Linked DNA regions of Macaca mulatta. The protein of the gene in region 1 interacts with the protein of each later gene in a pairwise test. Links are inferred from orthologs where the notes say so. Each region holds a gene or a part of one and is shown in the gene's direction. Other genes may lie near its edges.

What was found. The genes of interacting proteins can lie anywhere in the genome.
Region 2: the proteins of MAPK3 (region 1) and DCC interact in a two-hybrid assay, tested with the Homo sapiens proteins (2 studies listed by BioGRID). The link is inferred for Macaca mulatta from reciprocal best matches to the Homo sapiens genes MAPK3 and DCC.

The regions. Positions count from the first base shown.
Region 1 is NC_133425.1:28,437,036-28,447,490, forward strand, and holds the start of MAPK3 (mitogen-activated protein kinase 3), read left to right. Parts: upstream 1-1,270; 5' UTR 1,271-1,339; coding exon 1,340-1,509; intron 1,510-2,533; coding exon 2,534-2,716; intron 2,717-6,307; coding exon 6,308-6,497; intron 6,498-6,680; coding exon 6,681-6,797; intron 6,798-7,058; coding exon 7,059-7,173; intron 7,174-7,556; coding exon 7,557-7,688; intron 7,689-7,838; coding exon 7,839-7,948; intron 7,949-8,043; coding exon 8,044-8,166; 3' UTR 8,167-8,198; intron 8,199-10,126; 3' UTR 10,127-10,455.
Region 2 is NC_133423.1:39,504,452-39,514,928, reverse strand, and holds part of DCC (netrin receptor DCC), read left to right. Parts: intron 1-2,721; coding exon 2,722-3,042; intron 3,043-10,477. UniProt on the Homo sapiens protein: Receptor for netrin required for axon guidance. Mediates axon attraction of neuronal growth cones in the developing nervous system upon ligand binding. Its association with UNC5 proteins may trigger signaling for axon repulsion.

The DNA.
Region 1 (10,455 bases):
CAAGGACCTACTCCCAGCTTCTCAGGGAAAAAAAAAAAAAAAAAAAAAAAAAAACCCACTACATGATTACTTACTGAAGGTTGGGAGCTGTGTGTTTTTGTGAAGCTTCCAGCTCATATCTTTGCTGTGAAATGAGGGGGATGGACTGGATGATCTCCGAGGGCCCTTTCTTCAGTTGTAACAGTCTGAGATGGACAGGTGTGATCCCAGAGCTTTGGGAGGCCGAGGTGGGAGGATCCTGTGAAGTCGGTAGTTTCAGACCAGCCTGGACAACATCGCAAGACCCAGTATCTACCAAAAAAAAATTATATTTTCTTTTTTTGAGATGGAGTCTCGCTCTGTCACCCAGGCGGAGTGCAGTGGTGCAATCTTGGCTCACTGCAACCTCCACCTCCTGGGTACCAAGCAATTCTCCTGCCTCAGCCTCCTGAAGAGCTGGGATTACAGGCGCCCACCACCATGCCCAGCTAAGTTTTGTATTTTTAGTAGTGACAGGGCTTCACCATGTTGGTCAGGCTGGTCTCCAACTCTGTCCTCAAGTGATCCGCCCTCCTCAGCCTCCAGAAGTGCTGAGATTACAGGCGTGAGCCATAGTGCCCAGTCCCCCAATTTTTTTTTTTAATTAGCAGGGCGTGGTGGAGCGCACGCATAGTCCCAGCTCTTTGGGAGGCTGAGGTAGGAGGATCACTTGACCCCAAGGAGGTTGAGAATGCAGTCAGTAAATATTGCACCACTGCACTGCAGCCTGGACGACAGAGTGAGACCCTGTCTCTAAAATAAAATAAAAACAGTCTAGGATTCTGAGAGGCATGGAATTAAAAAGAGCCTCTGTCAGAAGACATCATTTTGAGTCTCAGCTCTGTCATTACTAGTGACCTTACTCAAGTTAGTTAGCCCAACTCTCAGATTCCCCATCTGTAAAATTTGATTCATTTATTAGAACAGTTTTTTTAACCTAGGGTGATCTCGGGCCCAGGTTCTGGTGGGCTGCCGCACACATTGGCTGGGTGGCTCTGGTAGGTCACGCCCTGGCCGCTTCGCCTTCGAGAGGAGGGTGAGGACAGTCTCCGAGGCGGCGCTGCCGAGCCTCCCCGTGACTTGGTGACCGCGGAGCCAGCAGAGACCCCCGGGCTCCCGCACCTAGGGCGAGAAGGGCGGGCGCGCGCCCGGGGTGGGTCACGTGACGGCTCCAGGCCCGCGCGGGGCCGGGGGCGCGCGGGGCCGGGGCAGGGGCGGGGCCTGGAGCGCGCGGCCCTGCGGGTGACAGGCGGGCGGGAAGGGGCGGGGCCTCGGGCGGGGCCGCCGGGGGGAGGAGGGCGGCGGGAGGGGAGGAGTGGAGATGGCGGCGGCGGCGGCTCAGGGGGGCGGGGGTGGGGAGCCCCGGAGAGCCGAGGGGGTCGGCCCGGGGGTCCCGGGGGAGGTGGAGATGGTGAAGGGGCAGCCGTTCGACGTGGGCCCGCGCTACACGCAGCTGCAGTACATCGGCGAGGGCGCGTACGGCATGGTCAGGTGAGGGGGCGTTCCGGGGGAGGGGGCGCCCTCAGGGGAGGGGGCTTCACAGGAGAGGAGGGGGAGGCGCCGAGCGCTTTCCGGGACGTGGAGACGCGGAGCGTCCCGAGGAGGCAGGGGACTCGGGATGATCGGGAGCGTCCCAGGGAGGGGACCCCTGAGTGCTTTCTAGGGGAGAGGGCGCTGCCTGCGTCCTCAGGGGAGGGGGCTTGGAGGCTTTGAGTCCACCCTTCTGTAATGATGGGAGGGGCATCTGAGTGCATGTGGGGGCCCGCGGGGACCCTAGTGACACGGGGCGAGGCCCAGAGGATGAGTACTCTCGGGGAGGCGACATCCTTAGTGAAGAGGCAGTGGAGGGCCCGTTTTGGGGGAAAGGGTGTTTTGGATTCCCCCTGTGAGGCAGTGCCAGGGAGCCTGGGGTAGACGAGCCGAGATCAGGGTGGGGCAGGGCTTTGGCCCCACCACCACCACCACCAGGTGCCCAAAGAGAGATGAGGGGGCCAGGAGTGCCACTTGCATGTTTTGGGAGGGGTCTGTGAGTGCCCCCGGCCCCACCGTGAGCTCTGGGACAGCCCTGCTGCCCGCTTCCCTCACCCTAGGACCCGCCCCTGCCCTGTCCATTCTCTCCTGCCCCTCCCCTGGCTGCCGTTTTCCCAGTATTTGCTCCATGGTGTGCCCCCAGCATCTGCACCCCCGGACCTGTCTTGGGTTAAGGAACCTTTCCTGGGAATGGGGGCGAAGGGTTCAGGGCCAGTAGAATGGAAGGGGATTGAGGAGAGGGGAAGTCAGTGAGCGGTCAGTCTCTTCCTCTGTTTGTAAAGTCACCGAAGGGCCGCCTGGCTGGTCCCCAGCTTTCTCTCTGGAGATCCCAGCCCTACACAGCAGGAAGGAACCAGCATTGTTTATGATTTGACCAGAGCCAGCTCCTGCTCTCTCCCCTCCCTGCCAAGGCCTGGGTGGGGCCACCAGGCCCGGACTCCCCCTTTGTAAGGCCACAGCAGCAGCCTCTCTCCGGTCCCCTCAGCTCGGCCTATGACCACGTGCGCAAGACTCGCGTGGCCATCAAGAAGATCAGCCCCTTCGAGCATCAGACCTACTGCCAGCGCACGCTCCGGGAGATCCAGATCCTGCTGCGCTTCCGCCATGAGAATGTCATCGGCATCCGAGACATTCTGCGTGCGTCCACCCTGGAAGCCATGAGGGATGTGTATCCTTCACCTTGCCCAGTCGGCTGGTCATACACAGCCTCGGAGCTGGGCTGGGGACCCGTTGCTTGCTTTCTGTTTCCATCTTACCCACCACCCTCCAAAACAAACCCAGTAAAATAAACTTTCCTGCAGAGGAGAAGCCACAGTGTAACAGGACTTAGAGGCCTCTGATGAACCCAGGCCTGCTGCAGCCGGGCAATATGGCCTTGAGCAAGTCAGTTCTCTGCTCTGTGCCCCAAGGGGGAGGGCTAGACAGGATGGTCTCTATGGGAGTGTTGTCTTCTGACATCGGCAGTTCTGAGACATGACCCAGCTTCTGCCCACAGTCACTTCTTGCTAACAAATGGATGGTTCTTTCCTCTCTTTCCTCCTTCCCCAGACTGGAAGGGAGACAGGGAGAAAGCAAACTGTCAGCTGGGCATGGTGGCTTATGCCTGTAATCCCAGCACTTTGGGAGGCTGAGGTGGGCAGATTACCTGAGGCCAGGAGTTGGAGACCAGCCTGGCCAACATGGTTAAACCCTATCTCTACTAAAAGTACAAAAAAATTAGCAGGGCGTGGTGGCGCATGCCTGTAATCCCAGCTACTTGGGAGGCAGAGGCAAGAGAATCGCTTGAACCCAGGAGGCGGAGGTTGCAGTGAGCCAAGATCGTGCCACTGCCCTCCAGCCTGGGTAACAGCGTGAGACTCTGTCTCAAAACAAAACAAAAACAAAAAAACTGCCTTTCTTGAGGTCCTACTGCGTGTCAGGTACTATACATGCCCAATGCTTTTTTTTTTTTTTTCTATTACACCTCCCAACTACCCTATGAGATAGGCTTTGCAGCTTCATTTCAAAGATGAGGGCAGAGTGCAATGGCTTACGTCTGTAGTTCCAACACTTTAGAGGCCAAGACCAGAGGATCAGTGGAGGCTGGGAGTTCAAGACCAGCCTGGGCAGCATAGTGAGACCCCATCTCTACAAAAAATTTAAAAATTATCCAGCTTTGGTGGTGCATGACTGTAGTCCCAGCTACTTGGGATGCTGAGGCAGGAGGATGGCTTGAGCACAGGAGTTCAAGGCTGCAATGAGCTATGATTGTGCTACTGCACTCCAGCCTGGGGGACAGAACGCGACCCTGTCTCAAAAAAAAAAAAAAAAAAATGAAGAAGCTGAGGCCCAGAAAACCTAAAATCAAGTGTTTCTGTTGCTGTCTCCTCCTCCCCTCCCCCAGATGGAAACTTGTCCTTCTTAGGACTTCTCACTCAGAGCCACACCCTAATCACCTGTGGACTTGCACCTTGCCCAGGGAGGGACAGCCTAGCCTTTGTTGTCCTCCCCTGATACTGCTTTCCTAGTTTGCTGTCCACTTCCTGTCTGGCTCTCCTTAGCAACTTGTGACACCTGTCACCTCTTCCCTACCCCACCCACCCACTCTCAGTCCCAGCCCTCCACCCAAGAGCGGGGATTTGTATTGCGGTGTCTGCAGCCCCCACCACAAACTGTGGACAGGAAATCTCTGTGCTCACCCCCATCTCGCTGTGTGGTCTGAAGCAAGTCACTGCGTCTCACTGGGCCTCCCCAGCTCTAAAACAGCAGGGCTGGTCCACATATCCTCTGAAGACCCTTTCAAGGCAGATTCTTATTTTCTTTTTTTTCCTTTTTGAGATGGAGTCTCCCTCTGTCACCCAGGCTGGAGTGCAGTGGCTGGATCTCAGCTCACGGCAACCTCCACCTCCCAGGTTCAAGCTATTCTCCTGCCTCAGCCTTCCAAGTAGCTGGGACTACAGGCGCCCGCCACCACGCCCAGATAATTTTTGTATTTTCAGTAGAGACAGGGTTTTGCCCTGTTGGCCAGGCTGGCCTCGAACCCCTGACCTCAGGTCTTCAACCCATCTTGGCCTCCTGAAGTGCTGGGATTACAGGTGTGAGCCACTGCACCTGGCCTCAAGGCAGATTCTAAAAGACAGCCCTGACTTATTTTTCCAGAGACAAGCCAAACGGCATTTGTGGATTTATTTATTTATTTACGCATAAGCTTTGTTTTATCTTCAAATAGAAAAAGACATTTTACTCCTCCATCTTCTGAGGTATGGCCAAGCACTCTTCTTTGAGTGGGAGTGTGCTATTGGGAGTGTCTCCTCATTTTTCTTGCGCAAACCATTCCCATAAGGCAGGCATTTATTTTTAAGCAAACATTTATTGCATGCCAGATGGTGTTCATACATTATCTCATTTAACTCCCTCAACAGCCATGTGACTCAGGCATTGATATTAGTAATAATAGTTCATGTTTGCCTAGCACTCACAACTTGCCTAGCACTGGGCTGACAGTTTTACATGCGCCATCTCATCTAGTCTTCACAACCACCCTCAAAAGAACCATTATTTCATGGCTCGCACCTGTAATTTCCAGCACTTTGGGAGGCCGAGGTGGAAGGAACACTTGAACCCATGAGTTCAAGACCTGCCTGGGCAACATAGCAATAGCCCGTCTCCACAAAAAGAAAACAAACAGGCCGGGCGCGGTGGCTCAAGCCTGTAATCCCAGCACTTTGGGAGGCCGAGACGGGCGGATCACAAGGTCAGGAGATCGAGACCATCCTGGCTAACACGGTGAAACCCCGTCTCTACTAAAAATACAAAAAACTTAGCCGGGCAAGGTGGCGGGCGCCTGTAGTCCCAGCTACTCGGGAGGCTGAGGCAGGGGAATGGCGTGAACCCGGGAGGCGGAGCTTGCAGTGATCTGAGATCCGGCCACTGCACTCCAGCCTGGGTGACAGAGCGAGACTCCGTCTCAAAAAAATAAATAAATAAAATAAAAAGAAAACAAACAAACAAAAAACACATTATTTCCCCTACATACCAGATGAGAAAGTTGAGGCACAGACAGGTTGAGCTCCTAAAGCCAGTAAGTAGTAGAGAGGAGATTTCAGACTTCCATGGGTTAAGTCCAGAGTTGCTGCTCTTTTTGTAGTTTTCTTTTTTTAATTAATTTATTTATTTATTTTTGAAACAGAGTCTCACTCTATCATCCAGGCTGGAGTACAGTGACATGATCTCGGCTCACTACATCTGTCTCCCGGGTTCAAGTGATTCTCGTGTTGCAGCCTCCCGAGTAGCTGGGATTACAGGCACATGCCACTGTCCCCAGTTAATTTTGGTATTACCAGTAGAGACAGAGTTTTGCCATGTTGCCCAGGCTGGTGGTCTCAAACTCCTGGCCTCAAGCGATCCTCCCGCCTCAGCCTCCCAAAGTGCTGGGATTACAGGCATGACCCACCACTCCTGGCCCAAGTTGCTGCTCTTAACTGTGAAGTTCTCCGGCCTCCCACAGTTTATTATTATCCCTGTTTCCCCGGTAGGGAAACTGAGGCCACAGAAGTGAAGCCCCTTGCTCAGGATCAGCAACTGTGACGCGACAGAGGCTCAGAGCCCTGCCGCTGGGTAACGGCAGCAGCTTGCCCAGCTGGTGGTGCAGGTTGGCAGATCTATTGAGTCCCAGGGGCCCTGGCTGGAGGAGATGTGCAGCCTCGCCTTCAGAGCCTGTTTTCCTTAACCAAGTGCCTCCCGCTGCCCCCTCCCCGGGGGTCTCCGGAACCATCCTCAGCTACATTGTGCAGGACCTGATGGAGACTGACCTGTACAAGTTGCTGAAAAGCCAGCAACTGAGCAATGACCACATCTGCTACTTCCTCTACCAGATCCTGCGGGGCCTCAAGTACATCCACTCCGCTAATGTGCTCCACCGGGATCTAAAGCCCTCCAACCTGCTCATCAACACCACCTGCGACCTTAAGGTCAGAGGGTTGGGCACCTGTCCCCTCTTCCCCCAGGGTCTGGGGCTTCCAGGTGACCAGTAGAAGCCTTGGGCAGGAGAACATTGCAAGCAAGGGGAACAGTGGAGGCAAAGACAAGGGGGCGTGACTGCTTAAGCTGCAGAGGCCTTGAGCACTGAGCTTAGCAGCTTGGTCTGATTCCAGATTTGCGATTTCGGCCTGGCCCGGATTGCCGATCCTGAGCATGACCACACCGGCTTCCTGACGGAGTATGTGGCTACACGCTGGTACCGGGCCCCAGAGATCATGCTGAACTCCAAGGTAGGAGGGGCTGCCCACTCCTGAAGGGAAGGGACCAGGTCCCAGGAAGCCCTGGAGCTACCTCCGAGCCAGACACCGACCCCCATGACACAGGAATTCCACCCTCTGGGCCTTGGGCTCTGCAAGGAAGCTGAGCATTGAGCCCTCCAGGCCTCTGCCTTCTGCCTGGTGTTGGATCTAACTTGGAGATGGTGGCTTGGTGTAGAAACAGGACCCTGTTGAGGCTGGCCCAGGAGCCCACCACTTCCTCCTCTCTCCCAGGGCTATACCAAGTCCATCGACATCTGGTCTGTGGGCTGCATTCTGGCTGAGATGCTCTCTAACCGGCCCATCTTCCCTGGCAAGCACTACCTGGATCAGCTCAACCACATTCTGGGTGAGGGAGGCCCGGCTGGCTGAGTGGGGGATGATTACCTTCTCCAAGGTGAGATTTCTCAAGAGTCCAAGTCAGGGATACCACCACGTGTGGGGCGCCTCCAGCATCTCATGGTATCTCAATGAGGTATAGATATTATCCCCATTGGATAGATGGGAAAAGCAAGTCTAAGTCCCACACCTAAGGAGGCACCAGACCTAGGATTTGAGCCTCGGTCTGCCTGAATCCAGCCCCCTTGCTCTGCACCACCTTGCTAATGACTAGGAGGTAACTGAGGGATTGGCATGGGTTGCTGGGCTGGGGGTCTTGTTCTTGCCTTGTTGCCTGTTCTGTTCCCAGAAAGAAGGAGGTGATCATTTACCAAGTCACCTCCTTATCCACAGGCATCCTGGGCTCCCCATCCCAGGAGGACCTGAATTGTATCATCAACATGAAGGCCCGAAACTACCTACAGTCTCTGCCCTCCAAGACCAAGGTGGCTTGGGCCAAGCTTTTCCCCAAGTCAGACTCCAAAGGTTTGAGAGACATGAGGACGGGTGTGGGATAAACCCTGGGTGCCATGGAGGGTACGGGAGCCCAGCAGCAGCTGGAGGAGACAGGCAAAGTGATGCTTCTGGGAGCTTCTCCAGTCTTCCCTGTGACCCCTGACTCCTGCCCTTCTATAGCCCTTGACCTGCTGGACCGGATGTTAACCTTTAACCCCAATAAACGGATCACAGTGGAGGAAGCGCTGGCTCACCCCTACCTGGAGCAGTACTATGACCCGACGGATGAGGTGGGCCAGTCCCCAGCAGCAGTAGGGCCAGGGGCAGGGGGGTAAGTAGGCATCCCCCATGCCAGGCCTGAGCCTTGCTGTCTCTGCCACCCCAGCCAGTGGCCGAGGAGCCCTTCACCTTCGCCATGGAGCTGGATGACCTACCTAAGGAGCGGCTGAAGGAGCTCATCTTCCAGGAGACAGCACGCTTCCAGCCTGGGGCGCTAGAGGCCCCCTAACCCAGACAGACATCCCTGCACCCTGGGGCCTGGTGAGTGTCCCCATGGCCGGCACACAGATACGCTGATACTAAATACCTGTATCTATATCTATCTATATCTCTATCTGTATCTGTATCTATATCAATATCTATATCTGTATTTGTATGTGCCTCCATATAGCAGCAAGCTTACCCTGCACCCATGCTCGGTGTGTCTGGTGACAACAGAAGTGCCCGGGGGCTGGGTGCAGTGGCTCATGCCTGGAATCCCAGCACTTTGGGAGACTGAGACTGAGATGAGTGGATCACCTGAGGGTCAGGAGTTTGAGACCAGCCTGGCCAGCATGGCGAAATCCCATCTATACTAAAAATACAAAAATTAGCCAGGCACAGTGGGTCACTCTGGTAATCCCAGCACTTTGGGAGGCTGAGGCGAGTGTATCACCTGAAGTCAGGGGTTCGAGACCAGCCTGGCCAATGTGGTGAAACCCTGTCTCTACTAAAAATACTAAAATTAGCCGGGTGTGTAGGCATGCGCTTCTAGTCCCAGCTACTCAGGAGGCTGTGGTGGGAGGATTGCTTGAACCCGGGAGGCGGAGGTTGCACCACTATACGCCAGCCTGGGCAACAGTGAGACTCTGTTTCAAAAAAAAAAAGGGGGGGCCAGGCACAGTGGCTCACATCTGTAAGCCCAGCACTTTGGGAGGCCAAGGTGATGGATCACGAGGTCAAGAGTTCGAGACCAGCCTGGCCAACATGGTGAAACCCCGTCTCTACTAAGAATACAAAAATTAGCCAGGTGTGGTGGCGTGTGCCTGTAATCTCAGCTACTTGGGAGGCTGAGGCAGGAGAATTGCTTGAACCCAGGAGGCAGAGGTTGCAGTGAGTTGAGATCACACCACTGCACTCCAGCCTGGACTACAGAGCAAGACTCCATCTCAAAAAAAAAAAAATGCCCAAGTGCTGCCCAGACTCATGGCCCACCCAGTCCTCCAGCCCCAAATGTCTCCACCTGTCAACACCCTGCATCCTCCAGCCCCAGCAGCCATTCTAATCTCCTTCTGGGAACGGAACTGGTAAAGAGGCAAGAGGTCACTGAGGGGCCCTGTCACCCAGGCTTCGGCTCTGGGTGTGGCAGAAGCAGGTGGGGCCATGATTGCTTTGGGAGGGGCCCAGCAGCACCCAGCCTGACCCAGATTGCCAGGCCTCCTCACACCTGCTGCCAGATCAGCAGTTCACATAGCTGTGGGGACCCTGCTGGGCCTGCCCCCACCCACACTGCCTCCTTGCCTCCTCTGGTCTCTTCCTGTCTTCAGCCAGGTGTGGCCTAATAGGAAGAAGGCGTGCATACCTGGGCTCAAACTCCAGCTGTGCCACTTAGTAAGTGCTGTGTGATATTGGGCAAGGCACCTCACCTCTCTGCACCTCAGTTTCCTGGAGTCAGTTCTATTTATCTTTTTTTTGTTTTCGTTTTTTTAAGACAGTGTCTCACTCTGTCGCCCAGGCTGGAGTGCAGTGGTGCAATCATAGCTCAATGCAGCCTCAAATTCCTGGGGCGCAAGGGATCCTCCCAGCTGGCTGGACGAGCCATTGCAACTGGCTAATTTTTTTTTTTTTTTTAAAGTTGGGGTCTTGCTATATTGCCCAGGCCAGTCTCCAACTCCTGGGCTCAAGTGACCCACCCACTTCGACTTCTCAAAGTGCTGGGATTACAGGCATGAGCCACTGTGCCCAGCTGAGACTGTTCTAATAATGAAAGCATAAAACCCTAAGCATTGTTCTAAGAGGTTTACATGTCTTAATTCCTTTAATCTTACAGCAGTACCTCCAGCTAGGTACTATTATTATCTCCATTTACAGATAAGGAAACTGAGACCCAGCCTATCCAGCTGTGAGGGTGAGAGACGTTCAGGTCAGGGCTCCCGCGGGTCTGCCTGGGGTATGCTAATGACTCCTTTTCTGTCTGCTTCTCTCTTTAGGACCTGCCTCCTGCCTGCCCCTCTCCCGCCGGACTGTTAGAAAATGGACACTGTGCCGAGCCCAGACCTTGGCAGCCCAGACCAGGGTGGAGCATGGGCCTGGCCACCTCTCTCCTTTGCTGAGGCCTCCAGCTTTAGGCAGGCCAAGGCCTCCTCCCCAGCCGCCCTTCCCACAGGACCTCGGGGGCTCAGGTGGCCCCAGTTCAATCTCCCACTGCTGCTGCTGCACCCTTACCTTCCCCAGTGTCCCAGTCTCTGGCAGTTCTAGAATGGAGGGGCTCTGGCTGCCCTGACCTGCTGAGGGGCAGGGGTGGAGGGTGGGGGGCGCT
Region 2 (10,477 bases), on another chromosome or scaffold:
GTTTCACTGGCGACCTACCCCTGTCTGCCTGTGAATTTGTCTGCCTCCTGCCACTGTCACTATCATGAACTGAAACTTAGAAAAGGAGACCAATAGAATCACATCTACTATTTCTCTATTAAACTTGATTCACCGGGATCCATCTCTTCTATAAAACTAATCACTAATGCAAGCTACTTAAAGCAGTGAGGTGCCTATATCCCAAAGCCATACATTCAAAATATAATTGTTATAAAGAGTACAAAAAGCTCAAATTGCCAGTGAACTGCAAGGGTAATTGTGTTAAAGAAAAGTTGATCTATGTACTCACAGCACTGAAAACTGTCATAACCTCCTTGTTTCAGACTAAGTGGATTGTTTATGTGTGATAATGGGCACATATGCTCATTAACATGCTGTCATAAACAGCTGTGTTAAATGTATTATGTGTTCTGTGACATAAATAAGGTGCTCAACGTGAGGTTGTGTTTAAAATATAGGCCCCAGGAAGAACAAAAAAGCAATAAATGCTTTCTAATATAGTTGCCTGGTCTTGAATTTCAAATTTATTTCTTCTTTATTAATGCTACTTGTATGGAAATTGTGGGTATTACTCTAGTGAAATATCTTGGCATTCAAGGACATTAGAACTTCTTTCTGCTGTCTCATCTTTAGTGTTTCTCAGGCCAGGTTTGCTAGCTTGTGATTCTTTTCTGGTAGAGGAAGAGATCATGTAGACATGGGAAAGGTATTTTCAGCAAAATCAGTCTGCATTGATTCAGCAAGCTTAGAGCAAGGCTCATTTGACAGATGCTCTCACCCAATCTTGTTTTGAAAGCCTCCACACTAGATATTGAACTTAGAGATCATCTAGTTCAACTTCTTAATTTTTGCAGATGAGGGAACTGAGTTTCTGAGGACTTAAAAGACCTTTCTGAGTCATGAATTTTGAAGTGACAAAGCCAAGACCTAAGGCTAGATATCCGGACACCCCATTCAACATACTTCCCACTAGAAGAACAGGATGTACTATAATTGGGTTGGCTATGCCAAAAGGATCTGTGGGGAGAAGGAGCTTATTTGAAAATAAAGACACCAGCCTGCTGTCATCTGGGATGTTCATCAATATCTACAGTAGAGTTATGTGCTCACCATTATTTTACAATTTATATTAATTCAAACTAAGTTCCAGATGCTTTCTGAGTTAGTGGCCAAGGTGAAAGGAATGAGTATATGACAGTGAATGACACAAGACATCATTTGGCAAAATAACAGACTTCAAACATAAGTTTTAGAAAAAATGAGTATGCAGGAATGAAGCAAATAAAACCAGGGAGAAACTGTGAGAAGCTGTTCTGCCTTCTCTTCACTGGAAAATAGGGTGTACAAAGATAGAAATAGTTTCTGTCCATCAGAAGAGTATGAGCTAATCCCTTATGAGAATATGGATTACCTGCAATTTAGATGCTTGCCTTTTAAATGACAGAAGAATGGAATGATTTTACGAAGTACAACTAAAAGTGTTCCCATTACAGAAAAATTAAGGAAGCTAATGAAGTCGAGGTTGCTATGCTGAAAAAAAAAAAAAAAAAAAAAAAAGAAGACTAAAACATAATTTAGGTGGTATTTTTTAAGAAATGAAATGCTGTTTCAAACAAATAAAGGGATCTTAAAGAAAATGGCCATCTCTTATGCATTTTCACACAAGGTGTTTCAGAAGAAAATGGGATTAAACATCAGCAAGAAAATTCAGTTAGACTCTTTAAATGATTAAATATTGAAAACAAGATACCAAGGGACATTGTAGAATCTCTAGCCTCTAAGATTGTGCAAAATGAAATTGAAAGTAATTTGACTTGAATGATTTAAGCATACACCTGTCTGAGCAAATGGTGGAGCCAATGACCTCCTGAAACCTTGTCAAGGTCTTTGACTCATCATGTGAGTATTCTGTCAAATGCTATGCTGCCAGCTTCGATAACAATATACTTTAACTAATTATACTTGCTCCCTCCCCTCAAGATTCTTAAATGACTTTCTCTTACCTCGTTGATTATTTATGTTCATTTATGTTTATGAAAAAATTTCAACTGTTATATTTATTTAGATTTCCAAGTCCATGAGAAACATTTGGATGAAAATTAAGACCCTTCAGGGATTTGTGATTTTAGGTAGTGACTTTATTGACTTGCTTCTGCCAGTGGGATTTACCTATTTTAAAACCCAGCTGAGCTTTGTCCTAAAGAACTTTACCCATGCTGTTCAGAGTTGACTTTTATTCTTACAGAACACTGTATCTGATTGGATATTTTAAAAGTTTCAATGGATGCCATAATCAGAATGCAGAGATAGAAATAGTCTCCCCCCAAATCTTAGCTACCACACTAATAACTATTGCTACTTTAAAATATCTAGTTTTATTTGGAAAATATTAGTTTTTTTCTGCTTAAATTTTCATGTACTGACTGATAGGTGGTAATAAGCATGCCAGAATTTATATGAATTTGCAATTTCTCATAGTATTAAATTTTGGAACCAATTGTTTTCTTAATTGCCATTACCTCGACTGGGTACTTTTTTACTTATTTAACATAATATCCTTGATTTTAGTTTTTATTTATTTTTGGACATTTTTCAAAGCCCTCAGCTTTTGTGAAAAGCTTTGTAAAGAAAAGAAAGGGAATCTAAGCCTGAGATTTATTTGAATACATGAACATATTTCCCTTTGCTCTCTTGTTCCAGGTTTTCAAATTAAAGCTTTCACAGCACTGCGCTTCCTCTCAGAACCTTCTGATGCCGTCACAATGCGGGGAGGAAATGTCCTCCTCGACTGCTCTGCAGAGTCTGACCGAGGAGTTCCAGTGATCAAGTGGAAGAAAGATGGCATCCATCTAGCCTTGGGAATGGACGAAAGGAAGCAGCAACTTTCAAATGGGTCTCTGTTGATACAAAACATACTTCATTCCAGACACCACAAGCCAGATGAGGGACTTTACCAATGTGAGGCATCTTTAGGAGATTCTGGCTCAATTATCAGTCGGACAGCAAAAGTTGCAGTAGCAGGTAAGTGGATTCTTCCTTCTCTTCCTCCTCCTCCTTCCTCTCTTCTTCTTATTCTTTTTTGGGGATAAGAAAATAATTTTTGTAGAAATAATGTACATTTTTTAAATGTTTTAAATTTTAAATTGACAAATAATTATATATTTTTATGAAGTACAATGTCATGTTTTGATGTATGTATCCATCGTGGAGTGATTATATCAAGCAAATTAACATATCTGTCACCACATACTTACCTCTTTTCTGTGGTGAGAGCATTTTAAGTCTACTCTTTTAGCAATTTTGATGTATACTACGTTGTGCAATAGATATTAAAAGCTTATTTCTTCTCTCTAACTGAAACCTTGTGCCCTTTGACAAACATATTTCCATTCCTTACCACGCCCCATCTTCCCAAGCCTTTGGTAACCATTCTGCTCTCTAGTTCTATGAGTCTATCTTTTTTATAATAGATTCTACCTGTAAGTGAGATCATGCAGTATTTTTCTTTCAGTGCCTGGCATCCCGTTTCCCTTAGCATAATATCCTGTCGGTTCATCTATGTTATCACAAATAACAGGATTTACTCTTTTTTAAGGCTGAATAGTATTCCATTGTATGTATGTATATATATTATCATACACACACACACACACATATATATATAAAATATTTTCTTTACCCATTCACCCATTCATGATTGATTCCACATCTTGGCTCTTGTGAATAATGCTGCAATTAACACGAAGTATAGATATCTCTTATACACCCTCATTTCAATTCCTTTGGATATATACCCATAAGTGGGATTGGTGTATCATATGGTAATTCTAATTCTAGTTTTTTGAGAAAGCTACATAACCATTTTTCATAATGGCTGTCTAATTTACATTTTCACCAACAATGCACACTTTTAAGAAAAAGGAAAGATGAAAAAAGATTCATGTTTATTCTCTCATGGTTTTGACGAACCTTTCTCCTTAAATTAGCTTAGAAAACAGTCATAGGACCTGAACTGGCTGCATAATGTTATGAGATTTTTTTTAAACAAAACTTTCAAGTTGACTTACTACTTATATCTAAGGGAGGACTTCTTAATAGAAAAATATTAGAAAAAAATAATTTTCTAATTCTACTTTACAGCTTCATTAAATGCGAAACTTTTGCAGAGTCAATTTTTTCGTTGTTGTGCCTTAAGAAGAGTAAATTTTATTTTAATTATAGTGGCATGGCCTACAACATATACATCTCAAGTGAGAAATAAAAATTGCTTCCAGTGCTTCCAAATTTCTTAATACTTGGTAACATGTTGGCTCAATAGCTGAGTAATAATATGAACAGTTTTTGTTTTCACCTGGATACACTGAAGTCATGTAGACCCTGAAAAAATGGTACTGACCATTCTGGAATCCATGATATTGCTATTTCTGCCCCACTCTTCTGGTTAGAAGGCAGCTCATAATTATTTCTGTTGGCCCCTGAAATGTTAGACCTGCAAAGAGAAGAATCAGTTTTTTCACTTGTTACTATAATGATTTCACCAAAACCTGGTGTTTTTTTTTTTTTTTTTAACTTTTGTATTGACCATAAAGCAAGGTAAGCAGATCCAACTTGAAATAAATTTAAGTTATGAATGGGTAAGCAGATTTGAAGGGCTGCTTTCAACGTAATCTTTAGTTCTCAGTAAAAACAAAATTGAATCATAGGCTGTTTAGTCATTTGTGGTAGGCTTTCTTTCCCAGGCCCTACTTAGTCTAGTCTCATCTTGGAAGACAGATCAGAATGATAACTCATTTTCATCAATAACAGGACAATTGGGCAGAACCACCACTCCCTCATGCACTCTCCTAGTGAGGGTTTGAGAAAGTTCAATCTGAAAGAGGTGATTTTGTCAGGCGGTGCTGTGAAGAATTACATCTCATAGAAATGTGGTTAATCCCCATATCTAGCTTCAAATTACTCTTCTGTAGCTTCTTTTCTCTACTAAGAACTCTGCAGACTGAATGTTTTGTCTCCCTAAAATGTGTATATTGAAATTCTAACCCCCAATGTGATCGTATTGGGAGGTGGAGACTTTGAGAGATAATTAGATCATGAGGGTGGAGTCCTCATGAATGTGATTAGTGCCCTTATAAAAGGAACCACAGAATACCCCTGCTCCTTTCACCATGTAAGGATGCAATGAGACATCTGTAATCTGCAACCCAGAAGAGGACCCTCATCAGAAACCAGTCATGCTGGCACCCTAATCTTAGGTTTCCAGCCTCCAGAACTTTGAAAAATCAATGTCTGTTGTTTACAGGCTACCCAGTACATGATACTTTGTGAAAGCCACCCAAACTGATGAAGGCAAAGTTTTCCATAGTCAGTTAAGCCAGATTTTACCTAAAGGTAGACTGGCTAGCCATTCTGCTTTTCTTTGGACTGACCTGATTTTTGCACTTGAAAGTCCTGTATCCTGGGAAGCCACTTGAGTGCCAGGTAAAACCAGGACAGTGGGTCACTCTACCTCGAGGTGTCCCTGGTCTGCTTTAGCAATGATAGACTGAGGTGCAGATGCAGAACACCCCCTCTACTCAGGAGACAGGCCAGGTGACATCCTGATCATGAAAATCAAGGCTATAAAGTAACTGGAACCTTGGAGTGATGGGTGTCTGAAATTTGATTGATGAGCATAAAGTGTAGAGAGAACTGAATGTTAATGTTAATTATGATTGATTAGGAGAAACAAGTGGAATAAATGCTGCAGATTTGGCAAAAGCAGCTTTCTCAGAATGCTCCAAATAAAGTGGAAAGGGGACAATTTGACTTTCAGTCACTAGAGAATTTCTGCCCTCATAAATCCCACCCATCAGTTGTCCACAAGGCGAAAGAAGGTCTACTGATTTGAATGAAGCAGGCTAGTATTTGATGCCTTATTACAAAAGGCAGTTGCCTATGCACTGTTAATGAAAATGGCCTTTCATTAACTGCATTCATGTTACGTTGCAGTTTCAGTCTTCGTGCAATCTACATTCACGTTCACATGTTCTGTCTTTCAGTAGTGAACTGAAGAACAATTCCTTCTCTGTGAGATATTAATATACAGTGGCTTGGTCTTTAGTATTCTGTACAAGGATAGGTGCATGGATTCAGTCACTGAGTTACAATCTCATATTAGATTGTATCATTTCAAAGCAATAAGGCTGTTCACAGCATTTTAAACCATGCTGTTTGGCAACACAGAATACATTAATGTTATGTCTGCTGAGGTTAAGATTGCCAAACCACTAGAATTCACAAGGGGCATATATCTTCCTAGTAATAAAGACCATGGACCTGATTTAATCTCATTTTTAAAGCATTAGCAGTCAAAAAACCAGTCACCACTAAATGGTAACAGTAGGCTTTGCTTGGGTAAAACAAAACAAAAAAAATGTTTTGTACTCTCAGGTGCTGTATAGAGCCCATATTAAATAATGTCCCTCTTCCATTTTTGCTTTCTCAAAGTGTCTTTTGATAAAAAGAAGTATAGCAAATTAAATCTGTCTTTAATCAGTCAGCATATTTTACACAATGATCTTGCCATGCACCATTCATCCTATTTTCTAGGAGCTTCTCAAGTGCTCTTTAAGACTTGAGTGCACACTTGGCTGGAGAGGGAAGGAGAGTAGGAAAGATAAACGAAGAAGTATCATTCCATCCAGCATTTTGTTAAAAATTGCAATGTAACAGGCTACTGACTATCAGTATTTCTACTCATTTTGAGTTCTATCAGTAAAGAATGCCTGGGCTATTAAATCTTCATTTGAAAGCAACTTCATCACACTGACTGAAATTTGGGAATTTTATTTTTATCCAATTAGCTCTAATCTAAAATGCTGCAGTGTTTCTGTGCCATGTATACTTCTATTTAGTCCTTTAGATTGAGAACAGCTGAAGAAGGGAAGCAGCACTGAACTTATCTATGATGCTTTCCTACCATCCTCTCTGCTATGTGTCTAGCAAAGTATGTCATGTTAATAGTAGACATTTGCCTTACCAATGAAGTCACGGGGCTTTATGCCATATAAAGAGAACTTTCCGCTGTTGCCATCCTCCTGTCTACCTCTCCTTCTCTTGTCTCCCTTCTATTTCTCCTCCTGCTTCACTGGATTTCTGCAGATTAAACTCACCCATATATGTGCATACATAAACATACTCTTGATAAACTGAGTTGGAATAATTTGCTTTATGTATCAATAGTATACAAATTAATTAACTATTGAAAACTTTGTGATTAGAAAATTGACTGTTTGGGAATATTCAAGTGCCACTTAAAAAGGAAAAAGCATGAGCATTTCTTCATTCCTTCCCTAACCTTTACCGTGAAAATGAACTTGCATCTGGCCAAGCACATCCTCCCTACTCTAGATGTTCCCAGATATCTGAGCCTCTGGATTTTCTTCTGTTCAGCAGACATAATAATAACCTACCTCCCAAGACTGTGGTAATTTTCAAACAACATGTAGGATGTAAAGCTCTAGTGCAGAGTAGATTCTTATTCAATGACAGCCGTAGTATAAAGAGACCTAACAATGATTATTATTGCGTTATTTTAATAAGTATTATTAGGAATGAACAACTTTCAATATTCCCATGTAATGATGCAAAATATGTTTTTTCAGGGTGATGAAAAATAGGCAACAAATCCTAAGACATACATATTGTAATCTTGGATCAGATATCTGCCTTTGCAATCTGTGAATACAAACTGGCAAGCCTGAATTGAGTTTTCAAAAAGTTAAATCTATGGAGATTTTTTGGCAAGCAGTGACCAAATCCCTTGGAATAAAGGATTCATTTTTGACCAGTGGATCTACTATTATGTTAATGTAATCAATACAGTTTGTACTGACCAGAGCAGGCGTTTGAGATTGAGCAACCTTGCAATCATTTCAGAAACAGGTGCAGGGCACTCCCCTCTACCTTTTTTAATGACTTTCCAACTGAAAAAGATTCACTGAAGCTGGTTCATGGGAGTTCACTTGGTCTCAACTTGGAGTTTAACACAACTGGTACCCTCCTGGGGATGAGGGATTAACTCCAATATGTAAGAAGACTAGATAACAACAGATTTCCTATGAATAAGCATAAACATCCCATTTTATTTTGTTTTTTAATACAACCATGACCACCTGTCCACCCATCCCCACACCTACCCGCCCACACAGCTCCTTGTCCACTGACTTGCCCTGCACGCTCTGAGGAGCACAGTTGGAGCCTAACTGGTACTTCTGTTTGCATTTATACTTCTGGGGATGGCGTAGGACAGGCTCCTCCAAGGGTAAAGCAATGCTGACTGCTGGATACATTATAGTGTATTAGTGTATTTGTGTCCAGGTAGATTTGTCTTTGTTAATTTTTGAACATTTATATCTTAGTATTAAAACCACTGACTTGCTTTTTATAGCAGTTTCTGCTTCAGAAAGTGAATCTGTATACAGTACCTGGTAATGCTCGGAAACAGTCTGTGAGATAAATACCCAAATTGACAGGTTAAGAACTTACTGGAAAAAGCTAAGAGCTCTATGGCCAGAGACTGGGACTTAGTCTAAATCCAGATGCACACTTATTCCCTTATCACTTTGCTTCTCAATCTAAGGACTATATTTCAGAACTCTGTAAACAATTTCTTATGTAATCAGTCATTTATTTTTAATCAATGAAATTCTCCACAATACAAATTAAAGAAGATAACAATAATGGTAATAATGATAATAATAATGAAAATCGATTTATCCATTTAGTGCCTTGAAAATGTCAACTCCTTTTGGGAAACACTATGATTTAGATGTTTTCTTCTAAGATGAGAAGATTTTGCTATCATAGCTATACATTCAATAGTGACACATGACAAATCTGTGTCAGAAAAACAGACAGCATATAATTTTTAAAATAAGCTCATAAATAATGGTCTTCTAGGAACACAATTTGGTGATCTTTTATCTTTCTATGTGGTTTTACAATTCAGGCCAAGTTTCCATATTTTTTTTCCTGCTTCTTAAAAATCAAGAAAATAAAAGGCCAACTAAATTGCATTTACTTGAGTTATTATTTCATTCAGGGACATATTTTTTCTTTCCTATTACAATAGATGTTCAAGATGCAAATTGTCACACTCCGCTTTTAAATAACACCGGCATTATAATTAAAATTCCCCTGTGTTTTAAAAAAATAATTAGTTACTTGAGGAGTTGTTTCAGTGAATTCTTTTCTAGAATGCCTCCCATTTAAATGAGTTATGAAATAATTAGTGAAAGTATATTATGGTTAGAGAAGCTAGAATGAAGCATTTTGTGAAATGATAACCTGACCTTTATGTTCTTACTTAAAAGAAGCTGAAAAAAACCTTAACTGAAGAGAAGGAAGAATAAACCACATTGCCTCAGGTCACTCAAATGTTATATAAAGGAAACAGCAAGAAAAATGTTCATATTCCTTCTCTCTACAGGAGCAAATATAAGAATTTTGCCTAGAAGGTCAACTTCATCCTGTGTAGCAGTTTGGAAAATGTATCCCAGGGCCCTTGAATACGCTCAGAATTCTATTTGGGAAGGTTCGGTTACAGCGCAGAGATTTCCATTTTACATTTATAGAGATATTATTTATTTTCAAATAATAAGCAGAAAATTAAATTGCTCTGACTCCATAATTCTTAATGACTTAATGATCTTCATTTAGCTAAATGTTCCTATTGTTTTGTAGTTAAAGCATGAGAGAAAGAAAAAATAAGAAGTAAATGTGGTCTTATAAGTAACTGCTGTATGTTTACTAATCTTATCATTTTTCTTTAATTTTATTGCTAAATCAAACTGAGATACAGTCATCACTAATATTTCCCCAATGCCTATTCCATCACACAGCCCCCACACCCTCAACTTAAATAATTGCATTTTAGAGAGTAAGGTTTTAGTTGCCTTCTTCCTAAGTCAATTAACTTTGCAATAAAATTAAAATAGAAATATAATCCTGAAAAATATGCAGAGTGAAAAGACATCTTCTACATTATAAAATTTACAATAGAGAACTTGACAAGGCTTTTTATAGTAGAAACATCAACAAAATAACCTAAAAAAAATTCCAACCTTTCATTTCCTTTTCTTTGTTATGAATTCTAATTCATGTGACAATAGAAATAGCTAATTATTCATTCTAAATTTAATCAGTATCTTAAGAGCTCTGTTCTTTTATTCAACTCTTAAGCTATCTACAGTTTGATTTTTGCTGGTACTGTAATGAAAATGCACGAGAAACATCTAACACAACTCAGTAACCAAAAACTCTTTTGAATTTTAGAAAACGTTTTTGGAATATAAAAATTCAAGTTTCTTGAAAAATGTCAAGATAAAAAAGATTCAAATCATAGTAATGTGAGAGAAAATAATGTAATATCTTTTCCTTTACATCACAAGGAAAATATATTACACTATTAACCTTG